Linked DNA regions of Mus musculus. Each later gene encodes a partner of the first gene's protein in a complex. Links are inferred from orthologs where the notes say so. Each region holds a gene or a part of one and is shown on either strand. Other genes may lie near its edges.

Region 1 (7,399 bases):
AAATAAAAAAATAAATCTTAAAACAAAACAAAACAAACCTAGAAAACTAAAAAAAGGAGCATCAAGGAACTAGAGCCAGTGTCCCCCTTTCTCCTGGGACCTTTGGAACCAGTGCTCCTGATCCTTCAGCCTAGCCTCTCAGGCAAAGAGATGGGCCTGACAGAGCCAGCAGGACTGGTGTCACTTGTGGGGTGGTCAAAGTTGACACCCATTGAAGGCAGTTAATTCCTTGATGTCTTCCAAAGGGGTGGGGTCCTCAGGTTGTGTAGACAAGGGAATCACAAGGACTTTGAAGAGACAACAGTCTGGCAGATGTAGCTGGCAGTTTTACAGTGTTACAATATATCTTTTTAGGTTACTTAATGTTTTTAATTACTAAGCAAAGTGTGTTAGGCTTTCTCTCAGCACAGAGTGTTAGCTCCATATACACATACTCTCTCAGATAGGGCTACAGAGATAACTAGCTCAGTAGTACAGATCTAACAGCCAGTACAGACAGAGCTACACTGTTTTCTTGGCAGCATAAATAATTGCTATCTAGGCTAAGAGTGTGATTCAGCAGTAGGACACATGCCTGGCCCACACATGGCCCAAAATCCAATTTCCAGTACCAAATAGTAATAACAGCAACAATAATAATTACCATGATTTTCCTTCCTTTGAACTCCAGAATAATACATGATCTTCCCACTTCTTGCCCAGCACCACTGCAAACAGTCAAGGGGAGAAATAAGGTGATTAAAAAGCAATCAAGCAGCCAGAGCTCGGTTTGGAGGCACACACGGACAACGGCAGCACTGGGGGCCACGGCAACGATGTCAGTGTTCAGTACGACCTGTATCACCCCACCACAGTAACACTCAACATACTAAATTCAAACTCTTTCACAACTTTAACTGCCCGAGTTATGACAGTAGTCACTTAATTCCCGAGGAAGGACAGTTCTAGAGTTCAAACAGAGGGTGAGTGCCGGTGTAGGAAAAGGTGAAAAGCAATCCTCGGTGTGGCGGGCAGAGAGGGTGGGCACTGTGGGACTTTAAGATGTAAACAAGCAGTTGAGTAATCCTTCTAGAACAAAGCCATCACTTCAGTGTTACCTTGAGATCAGCTTATCACCACCTAGCCTGGTTGCCATGGTTTCAGCCTTTTCCCTTTGGGCACACCTTAAGCTAAAAATAACAGCTTGTTGGATATTTCCTCCCAAATCTCGCTCAAAATGAATTCTAAAGTGTGATACTAACTGCCTAGGACGGGTGTATCAGAGTGATCAGACCTCAAAGACCTTGTGATCTAGGAGCAAACAGGGATGAGATAGACCCTTACCACTGGGCTAGCCACAGACTCAGAGAGTAAGAAACAATAGGGATGCAATTCTAGCACTTGGGGGGTAGATAGAGAATAAAGCTGTCTGGTGGGTGGAGCGCTGTAGATCTGGGGCCAGCCTGACCTACAGAGAACTCCACGACAGCCAAGGAACATAGTGAGACTCTGTCTCAAAGAAATAAATGAATAAATTCCATGGTCATTTTTTTTGTCTTCAATTAAAATTCCTTGATTTTTATCTCCATGATTCTCATTTTGTTCTTAAGTCAGCTTCCCCACAGAGCTGCCTGTCTACATACCCCTCCTAAAAACCCCCACTCTTATTTACCAGCCTTTTCCAGCTACTTTTCTGAGATTGTTCTTGCTGCTAAGTGCAAACAGCTCTACTTGGTCCTTAACCCAACCAGTCCCCTTGGCAGCCATTACCTTCCTTGCTTAAGTGTTCCCTCAAGCACTTCCTGGCTTCTCTGACTCCACACTCTGGTCTGTCTTGCTGGCTTTCCCAGGTTTTTTTTTTTTTTTTTCCCCTTCTTCACTTATCTGCCTTGGCTCTCTAACCTCTGAATGCTAATATCTCAGAGTCTCTCCTGGCCCTCTTCCCAACTTCATGGTCTTTCCATTCATGCATCCGACATGCTGTTGAACTCGGAGTCTGTGTCTGCAGCTCAGACTGCTCTGAATTCTAGCCCTCTGGTACATGTACCTGCCATTTCAGCCTCTTTGCTGGGTTGCTGCCAGGCACTTCATGTTTAGTAGGCCAAGCTAGTTTTCACAGGCCCCTGGACTGGCTCTTTCTTCCTGGAGTGTTCGGTTCTCAGCTCCCTACACATCAGGCTCCTTTAGAACATTTGGGTCTCAGTCAGGTTTCATCTTCTCAGACACCTTCTCAACTGCCAACTCCACAGAGAAGGAAAAATAGACAGGTGGTTGCTGAAGGTTTGGGAGGGTGGCGAGACCTGAGCGTGGAGCCTAATGTGCTCTTTAGAAAGGGTAATGCAGGTGTCGGCTATGGGATTGGGCACTACAGTCATAGCAAAGGCTATATAATTCCCCAAACACACTAAAAACCATTGGAGCTCATCAGGATAACACACTCCTGTAATCCTAACACTGGGAGACTGAGGCAAGAGAATTGTCATGGGTTTGTTCCAGGCCAGTGTGTGCTACCTAGCGAGATTCTATGTTAACAGAAAACCTACAGACACATACATACTCCAAAGCAAACAAGCGCATATCGAAGTGCACAGCTTTATAAGGTATGGTAAGTTACATATTTACAACTCCCACCAAACAACAAGATCAAACTTTCTCCCTTGCTGCACCTCCTGTACAGAACCAAGAGACCTGACGTGTACTCTCTGCCTGTGTCCTGCCACCGTCCCTTCAGATGACATCTGACCACTTGTCAAGACTTTACTCCTGAACTCCTCAAATCCACTCCTTTCTACTCCCCCCCACCCCTTTCACTGGCTACCAGCTCTCATCACTCAGGACTGGACTGTGATTACATCCTACCAGATTCTCCTCACTTCGTCCATATTCGTCTACCACACTGGAGTTGTTCTTTGTTTTTCTTGTCACAACACTGATTGAAGCAAACAACATGTCACCACTTCCCCCAAAAGTGATGTTTTCACTCTGCCCCTTCAGGACAGCTCAGTGGCTCACGAGCAAAAGGCCACTGAATGAATGCTTTCAAAAGGGAAAGTAGCCACAACTTTAATCTAATTCCCACTGTATTACACAGTTGCTTTAAATCTTTTGTCGGCTTACTATAACTGGTGTGATAAACAGTCAAGCTCTTTAGTATGTATACAAGGTCCTTCATAAGGTAGAGATAGCCTGCCCCAATCCGTCTGCTAATCTGTTACCTGCAACCAAAGTAAAACTGGCCATAAATCAGAACCTTTTGTGTGCGCCTGGAACATTATGGTTCCAATACTGTCTTTAATTTTTTCCAACTCTTTAAGCCTTAGCTCGAATGTCAATCACATTTCCAGAATGCGTGAGATCTGTCAGAAGAGTTTCCAACTGTTTTGAGACTCAGCACAGTGCTGACCTATACTCCTGAAACAGATGTCAAAATGAGCACTGAGCACGGTCACTGGTATCACTGCACTGCCCAAGAGCAAGCACTCCTCACAGTGAGTGCTTTTTTCCACATGAGGAAGTGGGTTCATTGAGGCTACTTCCGTATTAAACAGGAAGACTGGGTTTCAGGTCTGACACCAACGTAGCTGTCTATTTTCACAAACTCATTCCAGCACTCCCCACTTTACAATTTCACCAAAGGCGTGAAATCAATGAACTCAGCCCATGCCTGGTGATTTTGTTTGATATTTGCTTAGTGTATATAGGGAGATGACAGCATCACTTGGGTACATTCATTGGTAAGTGCTCAGTAAATCTTACTTTATGAGTGGGTAAAGGAGATAGTTTCCGGCCTTTGAAAATGTACACATTCATGTGGTGCCAAATAGTGTCTCATGCTGAACAACAACCACGTGTATTGGATGAGTCTCACCGCTCATCCAGTACGTTCTGCACCTTTAAATGTGTGAGGCAATTCTCTACAAAATATTCCAGAACGCCATTTCCACTAAAACCAATCTTTTATGGTGATTTAGCTCTTAATTTCTCGCGGAAACGCCTCAGCTTTCCCCTCTCCAATTTCCTCCTACCTTCTGCTAAGGTCTGAGCTCTCAAAGTACATACACCACGTCTTTAATTTCCCCGCCCATCTGAGCACGTGTAGGGTCCTGGAAAGGAGGCAGATGCAGTTCTTCCTTGCAGTGTCCTCTATCTGTCGGTTCCCTCAAGGCTTGCTCTGATGTACGAGATCCAGACTTGTGTTAATTGGCAACCCTTTCTTTATGAAAACACCCAATGACCTGGATTTTTTTTCCCCAAAATACCCTCCCCGAGACTGAAGGAAAAATGACATTCAACCTAGATAGCCCATCGATCAATGTTCTCCAAATCCCTTGAACCTGAGAGGCTGGACCCGCAGCTGCCTCCGCGGGGGTCCCTCCAGGCTCTCACACATACGGGGAGGGGGGCTCGCTCCCTCTCTAGCGCATCCCTTACAGGGGTCGGATCAGCAGCTGGTCGCTCTCCTCTGCAGGAATCGCAGACATCCTGGCAGTCTCAGGAGCAGCGTGGACCACGAACTCGTCGCCGCAGTCTCTAAATTCAAAGCACAGCTACTGCAAACCAAAGAAGAAAAAACCCCCACCACCAACACACAACTTCCGGCGCTCTAGCGTTCCCGGAGCTAGATTCGGCCCTCCAACTTCCGGTTCGAGAACGAGGTTCTTTAGGTTCCCGGAGGTGCGGTTAAGGAACTGGAGGCGCGGCCTAAAGACTGCGCCTGCGCATGATAGGGGCGTGGCCCAGCGGACCAGGGCAGGAAAACTGGCAAAGCCGGAGCTGGAATACGAACTGGAATAACCTACCGGCCGCCGCCGCTGGACCATCCCACACCCCGCGAGACCGGGGCGACCGGGGAACGAGCCGAGGAGGCGAGGTGAGAACCGGGCCTCGCCTCAGCCGGGCCAGAGGGTGCGGGTGTGTGGGGAGTACCCCGCAGCCCGCCGTCCTCCCATTCCCTCCACGTCCCGAGGCTGAGGCACCGACAGAGTGCAAACCGGGGAAAGGAAGAGGAGCTCGGCGCCCGGTCAGGGAGGGACCCGCGTTCCCGTGACAGGTCTACCGCCTGCCTCCCCGGGGACCAGGCTCCGCAAGACCCTGAGGCCTCCCTCTGCTTGTTGCTGCACCCAGGTGGGGTTGGAGTTAGCTGTCTACATCCTCACTTGTGCGAGGCATGTGTGCAGAGCTTTGGAAGCCTGATCTTGTCGGGGTCCCCAAGTAAACTTTGTGATGTGGGACAAGTTATTGAATCTCTGGCTTGGTTGACTCACGTGAATGCAGCTGGGCGTTCTCACTGCTCGGAAGGCTCCGATGACCCTAGGGACCGGCTGCTCCAGATGGGCCAGAGTGAGGGCTAGCGGTTTCTGGAGCATCTTGGCGACGTTATTGGATATCACCTCCTAGGGCAATTGTCAGAACCCTGTAACGAGTCCTCTTCCGCTATACTGTCTATCTACTGAGAACCAATTCAGCCTCGCCTTGCACTAGTTAGTTGAGGGAGTGGGAGTTTAAAGAAGAAGATGACATTTTAATGCTGTGATCTGATGTCTTTTAGTCCAACCTGAAAGTCCAAGGAAGGCTTTCTTTAAAAGGCCCGAAATAAGTTGTGCGAGGCAAGTAGTTGCCAAGGAACTTACAAAATGAGAGTTCTGTGGGAGGGAAAGTTAGATAGTATAAGAACATACAGGAGCTTAGAACCGCTCAGAACCAAAGTGGCTTTGCGTTCCTGAGAGATGTGTAGCTCATTGTTGAAGACAAGCTTGAGAGAGAGTGGTTGGAGAGCCCTGGGTGGGTTCTTGCTGGAGGGATTTGACCTTCCTTAGTCAAATCTTAGTAGTCAAATCTTAGTAGGACACCGGTGAACAACGGCCTAATAATACTGAGCTCTGATCTGTGTTTGAAAGAAATCATTGTTATCTTCTTTTCCTCCTCCTCCTCCTCCTCCTCCTTCTTTTTTTTTTTTAAAGATTTATTTATTATTATATGTAAGTACACCGTAGCTGTCTTCAGATGCACCAGAAGAGGGCGCCAGACCTCATCACGGGTGGTTGTGAGCCACCATGTGGTTGCTGGGAATTGAACTCAGGACCTTCGGGAAGAGCAGTCAGTGCTCTTACCCGCTGAGCCACCTCTCCAGCCCCCCTCCTCCTTCTTTTTGTGGCTAAAATGTGGAGGCAGACCTTAGAGCCACAAGGAGTTCTGTAGGACAAGATCATTCATTCAGAGAGCTGACTCAGTGGATAAGAGCATCTACCTGTCTTATTGAGGATCCAAGTTTTGGTGCTTGTGGCTCAACACCAGCTCCAGGGGCAATCTACTCCTACACACACCTTTTCTTTTTTTAAAAGTAAGGGCTTTTACCCACAAAGCCTCTATAGTGGGTGTGTGGATTCTTTAAGTGTGTCAGACTGTGAACTTGGGCGTTTTCTATAGATTGAGGATCATCACATTCACGCTGAAAGAATGCCATTAGTTCCCCCCAAAGATGTGGGGCTGGTTACCAAGCTGAGGCAGAGTCTGCCATGGACCTGGGATCCTGGTCCTTAGTTGGATGTGAAGGTTGAAGAACAGTGAGGGATTGATGATTTTCTGGTTCCTACCAGTGATGGCTTAATTGCCTGAGTGGGAGAGACGAGGGAGGAGCAGGTCGGAGCCTCTGGCAGTTTTTGCATTTGATGAATCTGTGTAACTTTCAGCTGACAGATAGCATCCCCTGGCTCATTTTTAAGCATGAATAATTTAGAAGCAAGAACAATTTGATTAAGTACATACACCCAGAACAGCAGCAGATATCAAAGACTAACCAGTTCTTTCCCCATCTCAGTTCCTGGATTGATGCTGCAGAGCAAGTTTTGAGAAGTTGCAAAGGCCTTGGTGATATCCAATCATCGCCAAGGATCTGTGGGGATGCTTTAAGATTCTAACAACAGAACCACTTTTTTTTTTTTTGTCTTTTCGAGACAGGGTTTCTCTGTATAGCCCAGGCTGTGGAACTCACTCTGTAGACCAGGCTGGCCTCAAACTCAGAAATCCAGCTGCCTCTGCCTCCCAAGTACTGGGATTAAAGGTGTGCGCCACCACTGCCCAGCAGAACCACATTTTATTAAGTAACTTTAAAAATTAATATAGAAATATGGGGGCTGGAAAGATGGTCCAGCGGTTAAGAGCACTGACTGCTCTACCAGAGATCCTGAGTTCAATGCCCAGCAACCACTCGGTGGCTCACAACCATCTGAAATGGGATCTGATGCCCTCTTCTGGTGTGTCTGAAGACAGCTATAGTGAACTCACATATATAAAATAAATAAGTAATTTTTTTTTTTAAAAAGAAATATGCATTTAAATTTGTAGTCATCTCTCCACAGCTAATGGGTTCTGCATGCTCAGGTTTAAACAAGCCCAGATTTTTAAAGAGGTGTTGTAAAAA
Region 2 (7,615 bases), on another chromosome or scaffold:
CATTGTAGAGCTGTGACAGACATGAGCAGGAGCAGTGTCCTGCAGCAGGGAGAGTCCCACCCAGATGGGAGAGAGCCACCCTCTGCGAATGTAATGGAAGCCGGCCATGACTGCTGAAAGGGCTGCTGAGAGTAAGTCTGTGACTAATGAAGGTGAGACTAGCCTTGCCCAAATGAATTTTTGGCCACAATGGGAAGAAATGCTCTGCACCTTCGCTCTCCAGGACAGCAGCCACTGGTCTCATGTGGCTGCTGAGCATCTGAATTAGCAGCAGTATGGCTGAGGAACTACACTTTAACGTTTGTAACTGGTCAGCACGTATGTATGGCTCCTGGCTACGGGACGGCAATAGTGCCATGAACTAAGAGTGCCTTCGTAGCAAGAGGTGGAATTTTGGGAGCCTCATAGTGTGTGGCACATATTACCTAGGAAACTGGGGTTCCCTTTTGGGATTCTTAAGTCTCACTAATACTACTAAGGTTCGAGAAACAGAACCCAACAGGGCCCAGCCTGCTACTATCTGTGTAATTACCTAACAGTCAGAAGGCAGGAGAGCTGAGCAAACGTGGGAATGAGACCAGGAGCCAATGAGAGAGAGAATGATGTCATGACCAGAGACCATGAGGTCAAGCTGTTCTCCACTCCGAGGTCTACTGCCTCAGCACTCTGCAGCACTGCACTGTGCAGGCCAAACTCACTGTTCCCAGTCCATCCATTCCAAGCACCCTTGCTCTGCACCTGCGCTTCCTGTTCAAGCACCTGACACACAAGGCCCCGCTCACAAACACCTACGAATCAATGGAGGGCTAGGCTCACATAGCCTCTGCTGAGGCCCCAGAAGAAAGACTTGGCCAGTCTTTGACTAGGAAGCTCACTAGCTTGCATACACTGAAATTAAAAAGTCTGTATTCAGCCCCTGGGCATGGCTACGTGTAATTCTGAGACCATGAGAAGCCCCTGAAAGCCTGTATGCCCTCCTCTCCACGGGAAGGAAAAGTAACAAAAGAAGGCAACCTTTAAGCCGGGCAGGCTCAGTCTGTGTTTAGGTTTTGGGTACCATAGTCCAACGTCCTCCTAGCCTATCTAAGCCATGGCTTCACTTAGGAACACTCATCTCAATATAATACAACTGAATGTAATACAGGCAGATACCCAGTGGCCTGGAAATCTGCTAGAGGGCCAAGTAGGGCCAGGGTGTAGCTGGAATTTCCAACTCCAATAAGCCCATGTAAAAAACACACAATCTAGTTACTATAATTATAAGCTATAAGCGTACATTGGGCAGATCTAATACCATACTAACTTACTCACCAGCTATAAGACCCTTGTTACTTGTGGTTTCTCTTGGCTACATGGCTCTGCTCCATCATGGCTTCCTCCTCCTCTTCTTCAGTCCTCTCTCCTTCCCTTCTCGTCCTCTTCTCCTTTCTACCTGCTCCCACTCTGAAACCTCCAGTCCCACCTTTCCGAACCTCCACTGCCCAACCACAGGCTCTAACCTTTATTGACCGAATAAAGAAAAAAAAACCTCACATAAAATCACCTAAATACATGATAGACTGCTCATCAAAAACAACCGTTCTTAAAGAAACAAAATTAACCTCAAAATACAAACAACACAGGGTACTTCAGGAAGGGTGTGAGGAAGTCAAGGGTCTCTTACCTTTGCCACAGGCGGCTTTCAAAAAGAATTCACAGACAGCAGCCCCCGACTCTGTAAAAGGAAAGAACCAGTCATCAACTAAAGCTAGGTACCAATGGAGGGGACTCTTAGGACCTTTAGTGCAGGATGTAGTGAGCTGGCAAAAACCACAAAGCCCATGCCTGCCATGGTGGGATATCCCAGTACTCAGAGGCAGACACAGGCAGAGCTCTGAGTTCTAGCCTAGCCAGGGCTACACATTTAGCTCCAGGCCAGTTAGGGCAACACAGTGAGACCTTGTCTCAAAGCAAAAGCCACTTGTTTCAGTCAGACTCGTGAAATGTGACTTCACTGTGGGACTAAACATCTCAAAACCTCCTGGAAGCCAAGAGCTTTCAAGACATTTAAGAATGGGTGGAGAGGCTGGGCAGTGGTGGTGCACGCCTTTAATCCCAGGACTCAGACTCGGGAGGCAGAGGCAGGCAGATTTCTGAGTTCGAGGCCAGCCTGGTCTACAAAGTGAGTTCCAGGACAGCCAAGGCTATACAGAGAAACCCTGTCTTGAAAAACAAAAAAAAAAAAAACAAAAACAAAAAAAAAAAAAAAAAAAAAAAAAAGAATGGGTGGAGAAGGTAAGAAGGAACACAAGATCAGAGAATAATTACCCCCAGCTCAGCCCTCCCATGGGGGTTAATTTACAAGTATATTAGTATGAGACAGAGAGAAGGAATGAATGGTCTCACAGGAAATAACTAAATCACTAGCTGAGCCTCTGAGCAGGGAAGATGACAGAGCAGGCAGGGGCCTCTTTAGACATTAGCCTAGTGGAAGAATATAATGGAAGATCAAGCAGGCCAGCCCTTAATATGTGACACCTACATAGAATTACATAGGTGCAAGGCCATTCATCCTCACAAACACAGCCAACTCTGGGAGGGCAGCACATCTACAGAGCCAGCATGTGGCAGCAGTCAGCAAGTCCAGAAACTCACCAGAACAAGTCTTGGATTCATAAATAGTTTTCACTGATGTATCAGCGTGGATTTTCAGAAAACAGTAAACTTAAAAAACAAAAACCAGCCAGGCAGTGGTGGTACACGCCTTTAATTCCGGCACTTGGGAGACAGAGGCAGGCGGATTTCTGAGTTCGAGGCCAGCCTGGTCTACAGAGTGAGTTCCAGGACAGCCAGGCCTACACAGAGAAACCCTGTCTCAAAAAAAAAAAAAAAAAAAAAGAAGAAATAAAAGAAAACAACCAAACCAAAACAACAAACCAAAATAAAACAAAAACCAGAAACACCATTTCCTTCTGTCTTCTTTTTTTTTCTTTTTCCCCAGAGGCAGGGTTTCTCTGTGTAACAGCCCTGGCTATTCTAGAACTTGCTTTGTAGACCAGCTTGGCCTCAGTTTCAGAGATCTGCCTGTCCCTCCATCCTGAGTGCTGGGATTAAAGGCAAGAGCCATCACTGAGTGGCTGCAATGGAAGGTGCCTCAGCACGCACTTCTTGTTTGTGGTTGTGTTGGGTATGTCAAGGCCCAGCAAGGCACCTACCAAATCTGGACCTGAGCTTCGGAGGTACCCATGCTATGCACATCCCTGGCTCTCCTAGGGAGACTTTGGCTACTTTGTGGGTTCTTTTATCTTCCACCCTTCTAGTCCCCTAACACTAGATAGGTGAGAAAAAAAGGATGGAAGGGAGAGAGGGGGTGATGTCATTGTTAGACTGCTCCCGGATGATTAGGGAGCAAGTTTGGTCTTTGCTGTCAGGGTATCTAATTTCTTGTTGTTCCTTTTTTGTGCACAACTACTTAACAACTCTCAACCAACCAACAACCCACATTCTTGGGGCCCTAGCATTTATATACCCTCTTAAGAGTCCTCCGAATTCCAAATGCCACACAATGGCAAAAACTATCTGCCATTGGCAGTATCACACTCCTGCTAAGGAATGAGGCAAATCATAGTCAGCTGCTATGGAAAATCTGAAGCAGCCCCAGATCCCATATCTGGGATTAAAATAAAAATATATTCCTATTTCTGTAGTTTTCTGGGTTCTGGATTTTGTTTGTTTGTTTTTGTTTTTTTCCCTTCAAGACAGGGTTTCTCTGTGTAGTCCTGGCTGTCCTGGAACTCACTCTGTAGACCAGGCTGGCCTTGAACTCAGAAATCCACCTGCCTCTGCCTCCTAAGAGCCATGATTAAAGGCGTGCGCCACCACTGCCCGGCTATTTCTGTGTTTTTTAAAGAAACCCAAATCTTTACTTCAAGTGCACACTTGCCTCCACAGGTTTGTGGATCTATTGCCCCACACAAATGTTCCATGGTCTCAAGGCAGTGCCATCAAATTGAGTAAAAACCTAGTGCTTAAAAGGCTAGCCTGATCTATAGAGTGAGTTTCAGGACAGCCAGGGCTATACAGAGAAACTCTGTCTCGAAAAACAACAACAACAAAGAGTAGACATATGTGCAAGGACGACCTGGCCAAAGAGGACAGTTCTGTCTGAATTGAAGCAGCTCCCCCAAACGGAAGATATATCCCACCAGAACAGGAAAACCATCTCATCACATGAAGAGGGACAGTAAATATAGCTCGGTCTAAAGGTTCGCTGGGGGCCTGAGTTGGGACAGGTGACCCGGAGGTGGGGTAGTGAGGAAAACGGACAATTCCAGGACAGGGAAGGATTTCCCAGGAGCTAGACTAAAGCAAGCCTGGAATATGAGGGTCTACTTGGAGTCTTCGACAGTCAGATACACTCAGACTCTTCTACCGCCTAGTTCTGATGAAAGTAGAGAGGAGCACGCTAAGAGGTGGAAATGGGGGACATTCTAAGACTTTGCTGAAGTTGGAGCAGGATGGGAGAAGGCAGTTCCACTTCAGGATGACACGCGTTCACTGGAGAATTACGCGAACAACCGACACAGTCCTGCTGTCCCGAGGATTGCCACGGAGCAGTCCCCGGGGATCAAGGATCCAAGGAAAGGTCTCCCCGAGTTCAAGTGACACCGGGAAGTCCCAGGACGGAAGCGGAGGAACTAGGCGAGGGTCCCGGGTTCCAGGGCCCAGGGCTGGGGTAACCTCTGGTCAGAATCAGACTCGCCCACCCACCCGCCGGGCCCCGCACTCACTATCCATGCCGGGGAAGGGCAGCGGCTGCGCCCCGAGCTGCTGCTCCACGGCGATCTCCAAGTCGAACTTGATGTGATCTACGCTGGCGATTATTTCCTGCATGGCGGCGGCGGCGGCCTCGGGCCCAGCTCCCCCTCAGGTCTCTCAGCCGCTCTCCGCAACTCACGCTACCTCTCCCCGTCCCCTTCTCGCTTGCCGCCACCGCCGCCGCCGCAGCCGCCGCCCCGCGAGGGATGCCGGGAGCGCTGGAGCCCGCGCCGGCCCTTTTTTCCCATCCAGACTCAGCCAACGGAGCTCAGAGTCCGGCCACTCCTTCAGGCCTGACTAGCCGCCGACCGATCGCCTGTTTCTTTCGGTTCTGTATCTTACACAAGAGGCGGCGACGCAAGTGCGCCTGCGCGGGATCTCCGTAGTCTGTGCTGAGGGCAGGAACGCTGTCTCTGGAGCCGCGGTCCCTCGACTCTGAGGACGTCTCACTAGGGGCTCGCCGCTTAGAACGCTCAGAGTGAGTTTCTGTTCAACCCTCATAGGAAACCCGGAAGCCGGGTGGAAATTGGACCTGAGGGACTTTGTCCAAGCTCAGATGCGAAAACGGAGGATCTAAAGGCCTGGGGAGAGGAAGCAAGGGGCGACCTAGGGTCCCAGGTCTCTCTGTGGGTGTAGCTCTAATGCAGACGTTTAAAAGTCGGGTAAGGGGGCAGGAGGTGTGGCTCAGTTGGTAAAGTGCTTGCCCCACCACCGCATAAGCCGGTAGTGTTAGTACAGACTTGTAATCCCACTAACTGGCAAGTGGAGGCAGAAGGGTCAGAAGCTCAAGACCAGACTGCATTACATGAGACCCTGGAGAGCGAGTCAACCTAGTAGAGCTAAGCCTCAAAATACCGTCATACCTCTTTTCCCTGTTATTATGTCTTGTTTTTGTTGTTGTTTGTTTGTTTTGTTTTTTTATTAAAGGGCTTCAAAGTAAGCAGGCCCAGCACAGCCTAATAAAAATAGAATGCGAGGGTGAGAGGGTGTAGCTCTGTGAGAGGGAGCATGTGCATATATGTGCCTTCCACACCACTCGAGTGCAGATTAGGGAAAAGCTTGTACCACAAGTCCTTCCAAGTATGTTCAGGAATCAAGCTCAGGTCACCGAGCTCTGCAGTAAGCACCTTTATCTGCTGAGACCCTCTTGAGCCTCTTGTTGTTGTTGTCGAGACTGGGGATCTCTAGGTAGCCCTGAGTAGCGTGGACTCACAGTTGTAGACCAGACTGGCATTGAACTCATAGAAATTCTCCTGCCTCTGTCTCCCTGGTGCAGGGCCTAAAGGCATGGCCCATCACGACTTACTCTTACTTTTTAAAGACAATCTCATGAAGCCCAGGCTGGTCTTGAAGTTGACATTATAGCTGAGGGTGACCCTGAATTTCTGACTCTTTTCTACCCAGCTGAGATAGTAAGTTTGACTGATCTCCCACTCCCCACCCTGCACAGAGCCAGGTCTTCCTAACTCAGAGCCTACCCTCTGAGTAAACTTGTCTCTCTTTTCTGACTCTTTTTAAAAAAGATTTGTTTGTTTATTTATTTATTTATTTAATGTATGTGAGTACACTATAGTTGTACAGATGGCTGTGAGCCTTCATGTGGTTGTTGGGAATTGAAATTTTTTAGGACCTCTGCTCGCTCTGGTAGGCCCTGCTTGCACCAGTAGGCCCCCTCACTCCAGCCCAAAGATTTATTTATTATTATATGTAAGTACACTGTCGCTGACTTTAGATGTACCAGAAGAGGGGGTCAGATCTCATTATGGGTGAGCCACCATGTGGTTGCTGGGATTTGAACTCAGGACCTTCGGAGAGCACGCTGAGCCATCTCGCCAGCCCTTCCTTTCTGACTTTTTATATGGCGTCTGATGCGGTTTCCTTATTTTTCTTGATTTCAGGCTGCAGGGGCTCGAGGCAGCCAGCGATGGACCTCCTAAGACTCTCCCGGCTCTTTTCCGGTCCCCGCCCCATAGGACTGTCTGTCCTTCAACACCTGGATCTTGTTGGATCAACCCGATGGACAGGAGGCAGGGAGGGACCTGCACGGCTGAGAGCTGCCTTCTGCGGCTCCTCCTCCCCGCTGCCCCTGGGCAGCGGGAACCAGAAGGAAATGAGCAGCCTCTGCTCTGACTCCAGTAAGCTCAGCACTGTGGCTCCCCAGGAGGAGGCAGAGGAAGAGAGCTTCGGGAGCCTCTCTGGCAAATTCTCCTCCCGGAGGATATTCCACAAGTCAACGGCCCAGCTCTACAACCTGCAGCTCAAGGAACAGGGTGGTGAGGAGGAAGAACTGGAGCCCAGACCGTGGCGGGGCCGGAGGAACACTCAGTACTGGTACTTCTTTCAGTGCAAACGTCTGATCAAGGAAGGAAAGGTCTGAGAGTGTGCTGTGATTTCATCTTGTGTCCCTGGCCCTTTAAGAATTCTTAGCTGGGAGAACCCTATGACCTTCAGTGTTGGATGCCCCTTGGATTTCTGGGAACGGGATAGGAAATGTATATAAAGCCGGGGGTGGGGACTAGCAGAGTGAGAAGGCAGTTAGTGAAGACACTGTCAGACAGTGGAGCCAGGAGGAGCTGAGCTGAGCTGAGCTGAGCTGAGCTGAGCTGAGCTGAGCTGAGCTGAGCTGAGCTGAGCAGATAGGCTAGCACAGTTGCTATGGCTTGGAGCTGCTAGCATTGGGGAAACTACTGGGAAGGGAATGTTTAAGCAGACTGTTGGGGAACTGAGGGAGGAAGAGGCTGGGCTGGAAACTGAGCGGAGGGCAGGCAGGGAGTTAAGAGAACTGGTAAACAGGTAGGCATTTTACATGAGAACCTTG
Region 3 (7,256 bases), about 81 Mb from region 1:
ACAAGTGTGCTAGCACTGAGCTAAATGCCCAACTGAATCATCTACTTTAGCTCTCACTTTAATGATGGAATCAAAGTGCTTGCAAAGAACTGGATGAATTCACATTAACGTTTACAGAAAGACCCAAACTTTAACAGATGAAAAGTATCTTTTATGGTAAGTCTGTATCTTTTCCAGATTCATTACCTACTGATATTTCACCCGAAGATATGACAAAACACAAATTTATAAGTTTTTTATAAACCTTTAAAAAAAGTCTCGTGAATGTAATTTACGTCTATAGTGAGAATTTTTTTTTAAAGGCAGTTATGTCATTTGAATATGTTTTTGTTTTAATCCTGGGTGTAGCTCAAGAGGCTGCTTCCCAGGGGGGCGATTATCATTTGTTGAGTGTACTAGCAGGGGCGTGATCTTTGCCAGCTGCAGATAGTTTACATTTGATATTTTGGGGACTCAGGAGAGCCCCGAGAAGGCCTACTTGACAAGGCCTACAGTGGCTTACTGATGGTTCTTGTTGTTGTAGTTTGTCAAGTGGTCCTGAGCAAAGGGAGAAGTTGGAGATAGCCTGACCACAATGCTGGATTTGTGCCAAGGAACCCAATACCCCTAATCAACAGGAAGTAGTCTTAGAAGGTCTATGTCGTCTTTCCCCTCCTACCTTCTTTCTCTCCTACCTAGTGTTTGGGGGTGGAGGTGGGGGAAGGCGTTGGAAGGGACTAGGGTGGAAGAGGACTGGAAGGGAGAAAGTGTAAGATCCCAGTAACACAGCTAAACAAATACAACAATATACTTCCAGCTATAACTTTGGTGTTTTAATTTCTGTCTTTCTCTAAGGCATCATGAGCAACAGAAGAAGTGCTTGCTTTTTTAGACAAGTTTTCACTGTGAAGTCCTTTTGGCTGACAATATAGCACAAATGGCCTCAGATTCTTTAACCTCCTGCCTCAGCCTCTAAAATGCTAGGATTCCAGGCATGTACAATTATGCCTGGCCCTATAGGTTCCATTTTAAAAAACGGGGTGGGAGAAAGGACTCAGAGGTTAAGAGCACCTGCTTTTTTTATAGAGGACCTGGGTTCACTTCCCAGTCTCTACATGGTGGTTCACAATCATCTATAACTTCAGTTCCTGGGGATCCAAAGCCCTAGACTCCAAAGGCACCAAACATGTATGTGTTACACATGTATACATACTGTAATATCAAAAATGAATTCAAGACCACCTAGTACCTTCCCCCTTCAAAAGGACTTTCCAGACTGTCCTAGCAGGCCAAGTACAGAGCCAGATAAAGAAGCTGGCTGACTAAACAAACATAGAAACATAGTTTTAACCGTCAAAATGACTAAGCTTCCAAAACAAGATTAACAATGCCCCTGCCCCGCCTCACACTAAAAACCTCAAGGACAGACAAAATGAGAGTCACCGTATACAAACCAACCAATGTCTAAAAAGGTTATTGACTACACCAATTAAAATAAGTCAAACTACCCTGGTGCCTATATCCGGCCCTTACAAAGTTATGACAAGTGTGTGTGTGTGTGTTTTTTTTTTTTTTTTTTTTTTTGTTCTGGGTCTCTCCTCTGGCCTGCGTGCTAAGAGGGGAATCCCCAACATGTTGGAATAATAAAAATCCTCATGCGGTTACAGCAATGGTGGTCTCTGCGGTCCTTGTGAGTGAGGGTCTTTTGACGAACTACAACAATACAAGCAAAAACTCATATGCATAAAATAAAAAAATCTAAAAGAAAAGAGATACATAAATTGTAAGGAGTTAAATTTACAAAAGGGATAAAACATAAGTAATTATGGGCCAAATTGGTTATAATCTGCTTATATATACACTACTCAGTAAGTGAATCTTAAAAATTCTCAAGTGCTTCTGTTATTGAAGGAACTAAGATTACTTATTAAAGATTTATACAGTCAGGGCAGAAGGAGAGAAAACATTCAAAAGACTGGAATAACATCAGCTAAGACGAAACCCACAAAGCTAGGAGGTATCAGTGAAAAATTCAGCCTGGCATGCTTCCATAGAAAGACAGACAGACAGACTGACCAAGTGAGCAGCAGAGGCCCTGCAGAAGGGCCCTGGATACCCTGGACCTAGTTCTGTAGGCGATGCAGAGGCATTTAAAAATTCATTTTTTTAAGTAGGAAGAAGGCAAAAAATGCCTTAAAAAAAAGTAGGAAGAAGGCATAATACAGGCAACTGTGCTGATGGAAAATAGGCAGATGTGCATGACTGAACACCAACAGAAAAAACACAAACATAGAAAAGGGGAAATTGCTCATTTACACTCAAAACACCTCTCCACTTCACTGATGCTAAGACTAAAATTTTTTTTTGTCTCAAATGTCTTTTTTAATTCCTTATCAATTAATGGGTTATTAGTCAAGTAACCAAGGCTGAAAGTCTTCCCTTTATTTTCTGGGACCATCTCCTATCAATTCCTGATTGCTTCTCCCTCAGAACACCTTGCACGTATACTATCTCCCATCTGTTCTTACTGCCGATACCTGAATGGCAGGCCTCATTACCTTACATTTGGGTTTCGCCATTTCATTCTCGGCAGCTTTCCCCCTCTTTATCTCAGTGGAAACACTCCTGCCAGAATAATCTAAAACATCCCTGCAAACACTATCCCTTGTTCAAGTCTTTGAAGGAAGGGCTGGCAAGATGCTCAGTGGTTAACTTAACCCTGAGTTCAATCCTCTGCACCCACGTGATGGAAGAAGAGTGCCCACTCCACCAAGCTGTCTCTGTGGCCTTCATTTGTCTGCTGTGGTAGATGTGTGCCTACACACACACACACACACACACACACACACACAAAACAACCTTTAAAGGTATCTACTGCCCTAAGAGGGAAAAATAAAAACAAGTAAAAACAAGTAACTGAATGTTTTTACAGGGAGCGAGGTGAGGAGGAAGCAGGAGCTGCCTGAAACCAGTTTACTATTCTCTCAAGGTCTGGCTCAAAGTTTCCTCCTTTCTCATCCTTCTTCCATTATTAGTCTAGACTAATGTGAGCCACAGATGTAATTTAAAAATTTCCCAGCCACATTTACAGCAAAAAGAGGTAAGGCCTGGTGTTTTAACGGTGTCAAATCATCACTTCAGCAGGTCGTCATTTAATGAGTCAGTTTCCAGGGTTTTTGCACTGTGTTCGGCGTGTACTTTCCAGTTCATTCCCATTCAAGCCAACCTCATTTCAAGCGCTCAATACTGCATGTGGCCACTGTAATAGCAGAGGTCTAGACTCCCAAATAATGCTTTGGGCTGGGGAACGTTGTGGTTTTGCCACTGCGTAAGAGCAAAGTTGGCACCACCCTCTTTTTATGTCCATGTCTCAGACCGATTTCAATGGTATTACCAACCATCAAGTTTCGCAGACTAAAAACCATTCACCCACTACCAGTAAACTGGCAGTCACAGGTGGAACCCTATGTAGGTGGCATTTGCTTCATTTCTTCAGGTGGTTCTTCTCCTGCCTCAGCGAAGGTTCTTGTTGCCTTACCTGAATGGCTGACACTGCATCTAGTTTTCTTATCTCAGGTTGGTCCTGCATAGCCTTATATGCCAGATCATCCTAAGACATAAATACCTCCTGCCCACTCCCTGCCAAGTGTGCACCAGCTTCCTGCTGACTAAATGCAAGACAAGCTCCAAGACCACTCACAAGCCGACCTAATCTGCACCTTCAGTCTGCACCAACCACTCTTCCAGTTTTTGATTTGTTAAAAATCTCCCCAACAGTGCTCAGCCTTCTCAAGTTTTTAATCCCTCTTCTGCACCCAGGAATAACTTTGTTCTCCCAGGCTTAGCAAATTCCTCTTGATCTGGCTCAGGTGCAAGCTTTTCATTGTCCCCAGGTAAAGCTTCATTACTTAGCACAAAGGAGGCAGGAGGAGTGTTTGCCAAGGGATGATGATTGTGTCCAAAAGCGATCATCTTTGCATCTCCCAAACCAAGCACAGTGCTCGAAGCAATAGAAATAAATGTGCTGAACGCACTGAACCCACCATATCGGGAATTCCCCCAGGGCAGTGACTTCGACTACCTCTGCTTCATCTCGAATATATACCAGATACTTGCTTTCTCAAGAATGATCGTTCACGCTGAGGTCAACTAATGAGAAATACGCAAAGACGGATCTGGACTAGTCCTGGGGCTCACAGTGGGAGAAGTCTCTCTTTAATCGTTCAGGTAAAGAAAGGCTTTGAAAGGGGCAAAGGAATCGTAAAATTAAAGGGTAGAAAAGTAGGCATAGATGATGCTTAAGTTCTCCTTGTCACAGGGGCCAGAGTACTGGGGCTGGATATGGCCTGACTTCTGGTTTCCTGAAAAGTACGTAAGCAAGGAAACTAGGAATGGGATCTTGGGAAACGTGGTGATTGTGGTAGCGCCGAGAGAAGTTAATTCTATCAAGGCGTGGCATGAGCCTCTCAAGGGTCTTTGGAATTAAGGAGCTACGAAGGCACCTGCTGGCCTCGTGTTCTCTGAGCCCAAGATGGGAAAGGCAGAGATGGGGAGGCTTGGGGAGTACGGCGGTACAAGGGGAAAGAGCCCAGGCTGGACGCGGATTAACTTTTAGCTCCAGCTGATGAAAGCTCAGAGGAACTAGACAGGAGGGAGGGCAAGGAGGAAGCATAGGCGCGCCCCAACACCCCGAGGTTTCAGCCCGGGGAAAAGTCACTTCTCTTCCCCCTTGCGGAACGCTTGTTCCAGGAACCACGGAGACTGTCACAACCGAAACCGCGGGAGCGCGTCCGGGCGACACCGGGCCGACGCGGGAACCCATCCCCTTGAGGGCCTCCTCCCAACCCGAAGGCTCCTTTCCGTCTCCCGTCCTCACCTGCCAGGCCAATCTCCCCCCGGCACCGTCCGCCGCCCTTCCCAACCCCTAGTGGAACGCAGGTCGGAGAGCGAGCAGAGCTAGCGCGCGCTCAGCGGCGGAGAGCAGCCGGCAGGAGCCCCTGTGTGGTGGCCGCCATCTTGGGCCTGAGCAGAGCGGCTGAGGCGGGGACGACCCGGGCGACACCATCTGTAGGGGTGGTGACGAACCGGGTCAGGGAAGAGGACAGCGCAAAAGCTCGCAAACCTTGTCAGCCTGGATCCACGTCTTATTCAAAACGTGTCGCGATCATTCACAGCTTAAGATGTACGGGATTCGCGCGTGAGAAGGGAGAGAGAAGCGCCGGTTTGCCGACGCCACCCCCTCTCATCAGGGCTGGCGCGGCGAGTGGCAGCTCCTTAGGTCACGGCTTCCGCCGGCGCCAGTGGCCTAGCTCCCTGCGGCTGTCCTTGGTCGCCTTGTCACCAGGCTGAAGGTGGGTCTGGGGACCCCGGCGCCACCCGTGGTGGTGATGCGGGCGGGAGGGTTCTGGGGAACGCTCGCATGGAGGGGAAACAGGGTCGCCTTCGGTGACCCCTGCGCGCTGCCCGCCCCACGCCTTTTACAAAGACTGCTCTGGGGACGATCTGATGGCCTGGCTCTCGGGGGACTCGGAAGGGTTCTCAAGGATCCGACTCTTGAGCCCACAATAGGGAATGCAGCTCCTATCCAGAAGCGGGGCGCGGTCGCCCAGGCGTCTGTCTCCTCGTCCAACTCTCCTGATTGTGAAACCCGCACGTAGCCATTTGCCTTTTAAAAACAAGGCTTTCTGCTTGGTTTCCAGTCCGTGTTATGATCTCAACGGTTTCGGTTTTGCTCCATCCATTCCATATCTTAGGTGACACTTTGTAATAATTATAAAGAACTGTGGGGTCCAGTCCAACACAAGGTATTATCTCTTAAAAAGTCTACATGTGCCTGCAGTGGTGGTGGCGCATGCCTTTAATCCCAGCACTTGGAAAGCAGAGGCAGGTGGATTTCTGAGTTCAAGGCCAGGCTGGTCTACAGAGTGAGTTCCAGGGCAGCCAGGGCTTTAAAGAGAACCCCTGTCTTGAAAAACAAAACAACAAAAAAAGTCTACATGTTTCCAGCATGAATCCAGATAGAAGACTCAGCAAAATAAGACTCACAGCAGTGTCTGTTATTCTTGAAAAGGGAAAGAAACTTTAATCCCAGCACTTGGAAAGCAGAGGCAGGTGGTATTTAAGGGAAATACCTTGTGTTAGAGAAAAATATTAAGAAATATGTGGGATGTGGGGTTAGTTGTTTTTTGTTTTTAAAAAGTCTCACACACACACACATGGAGAGAGAGAGAGAGAGAGAGAGAGAGAGAGAGAGAGAGAGAGAGAGAGGCTCTGCAAAGAAGAAAAGAGAGGAGGAGTTATTTAACTGTTTACCTCCGTACACAGGAGAGAGAGTAGAACAAAAGAGCTTAAGCCTGATCAGGATACAGATTGTCTGGGGACTATGCTAATCCTGACTCTTTACCCTATACTTAAAGCAAGTTACTTTGCCACAACTAAATTTGGATTTCTTCATCTGAAAAAAAAAAAAAGCCCCAATCTTGAGACATGGTTACTTAAATCTGCAGTCTGTGGTGAGGAGTATATGAATTAGCTATGACGCAGAAACGCCTCGTCCATGTGGCCTACATCTGTAACTCCAACTACTTTTGAGGATGAGGCAGAGGGATAGTAAGCCAGAGCTTCACAGTAAGACTGTCTCAAAAAACAAATACAAAACAAACAAACAAAAGATTCAGTTCTTGTTAAAAGCTTGCCCAAAAAAAAAAAAAAAATTGGATCACTTTAATATTAAAAAAATAAATGACCAAGCCGGGCATGGTGGCACACGCCTTTAATCCCAGCACTCGGGAGGCAGAGGCAGGCGGATTTCTGAGTTCGAGGCCAGCCTGGTCTACAAAGTGAGTTCCAGGACAGCCAGGGCTATACAGAGAAATCCTGTCTCGAAAAACCAAAAAATAAAATTAAAAAAATAAAATAAAATAAAAATAAATGACAAGACAGAGTGTGTGGCTCTGATACGGTGTGTGCTTTTCAAAGCCAAGGCTGCTTCCCTCCTTCTCTCACCCCCTTCTGTCTGCCTCCCCCCCCCTCTTTTTCTTGACACAGTTTCTCTGTGTAGCCCAGGCTGGCCTTGAACTCAGAGATCCTCCTGCTTCTGCCTTCTTAGTGCACCACCACTGCCCAGCCTCCCAATTCTTTTTTTAAAAATACCACAGTACCAGGCAGTGGTGCACAGGGGAGGCAGAAGCAAGCAGATTCCTGTGAGATCCAGGACAGCCAGGGCTACAAAGAAACACTCTTGAAAAGCAAAGCAATAATGCTATATTTTATTTCTG

Evidence for each region. The genes of interacting proteins can lie anywhere in the genome.
Region 2: Cpsf3 (region 1) and Cpsf4 share a complex: the UniProt entries of both Homo sapiens proteins name them as parts of the cleavage and polyadenylation specificity factor (CPSF) complex. The link is inferred for Mus musculus from reciprocal best matches to the Homo sapiens genes CPSF3 and CPSF4.
Region 3: Cpsf3 (region 1) and Cpsf2 share a complex: the UniProt entries of both Homo sapiens proteins name them as parts of the cleavage and polyadenylation specificity factor (CPSF) complex. The link is inferred for Mus musculus from reciprocal best matches to the Homo sapiens genes CPSF3 and CPSF2.

The regions. Positions count from the first base shown.
Region 1 is NC_000078.6:21,283,556-21,290,954, reverse strand, and holds the start of Cpsf3 (cleavage and polyadenylation specificity factor subunit 3), read right to left. Parts: upstream 4,659-7,399; 5' UTR 4,461-4,658; coding exon 4,411-4,460; intron 4,151-4,410; exon of another isoform or gene 4,037-4,150; coding exon of another isoform or gene 4,005-4,036; intron 3,029-4,004; exon of another isoform or gene 2,896-3,028; intron 2,221-2,895; exon of another isoform or gene 2,027-2,220; intron 708-2,026; coding exon 644-707; intron 1-643. UniProt on the Homo sapiens protein: Component of the cleavage and polyadenylation specificity factor (CPSF) complex that plays a key role in pre-mRNA 3'-end formation, recognizing the AAUAAA signal sequence and interacting with poly(A) polymerase and other factors to bring about cleavage and poly(A) addition.
Region 2 is NC_000071.6:145,164,614-145,172,228, reverse strand, and holds the start of Cpsf4 (cleavage and polyadenylation specificity factor subunit 4), read right to left. Parts: upstream 5,017-7,615; 5' UTR 4,873-5,016; coding exon 4,770-4,872; intron 1,715-4,769; coding exon 1,664-1,714; intron 1-1,663. Other genes in the region: Ptcd1 (pentatricopeptide repeat-containing protein 1, mitochondrial), read left to right, coding at 6,722-7,168. UniProt on the Homo sapiens protein: Component of the cleavage and polyadenylation specificity factor (CPSF) complex that play a key role in pre-mRNA 3'-end formation, recognizing the AAUAAA signal sequence and interacting with poly(A) polymerase and other factors to bring about cleavage and poly(A) addition.
Region 3 is NC_000078.6:101,973,734-101,980,989, reverse strand, and holds the start of Cpsf2 (cleavage and polyadenylation specificity factor subunit 2), read right to left. Parts: upstream 5,017-7,256; 5' UTR 4,856-5,016; intron 1-4,855. UniProt on the Homo sapiens protein: Component of the cleavage and polyadenylation specificity factor (CPSF) complex that play a key role in pre-mRNA 3'-end formation, recognizing the AAUAAA signal sequence and interacting with poly(A) polymerase and other factors to bring about cleavage and poly(A) addition.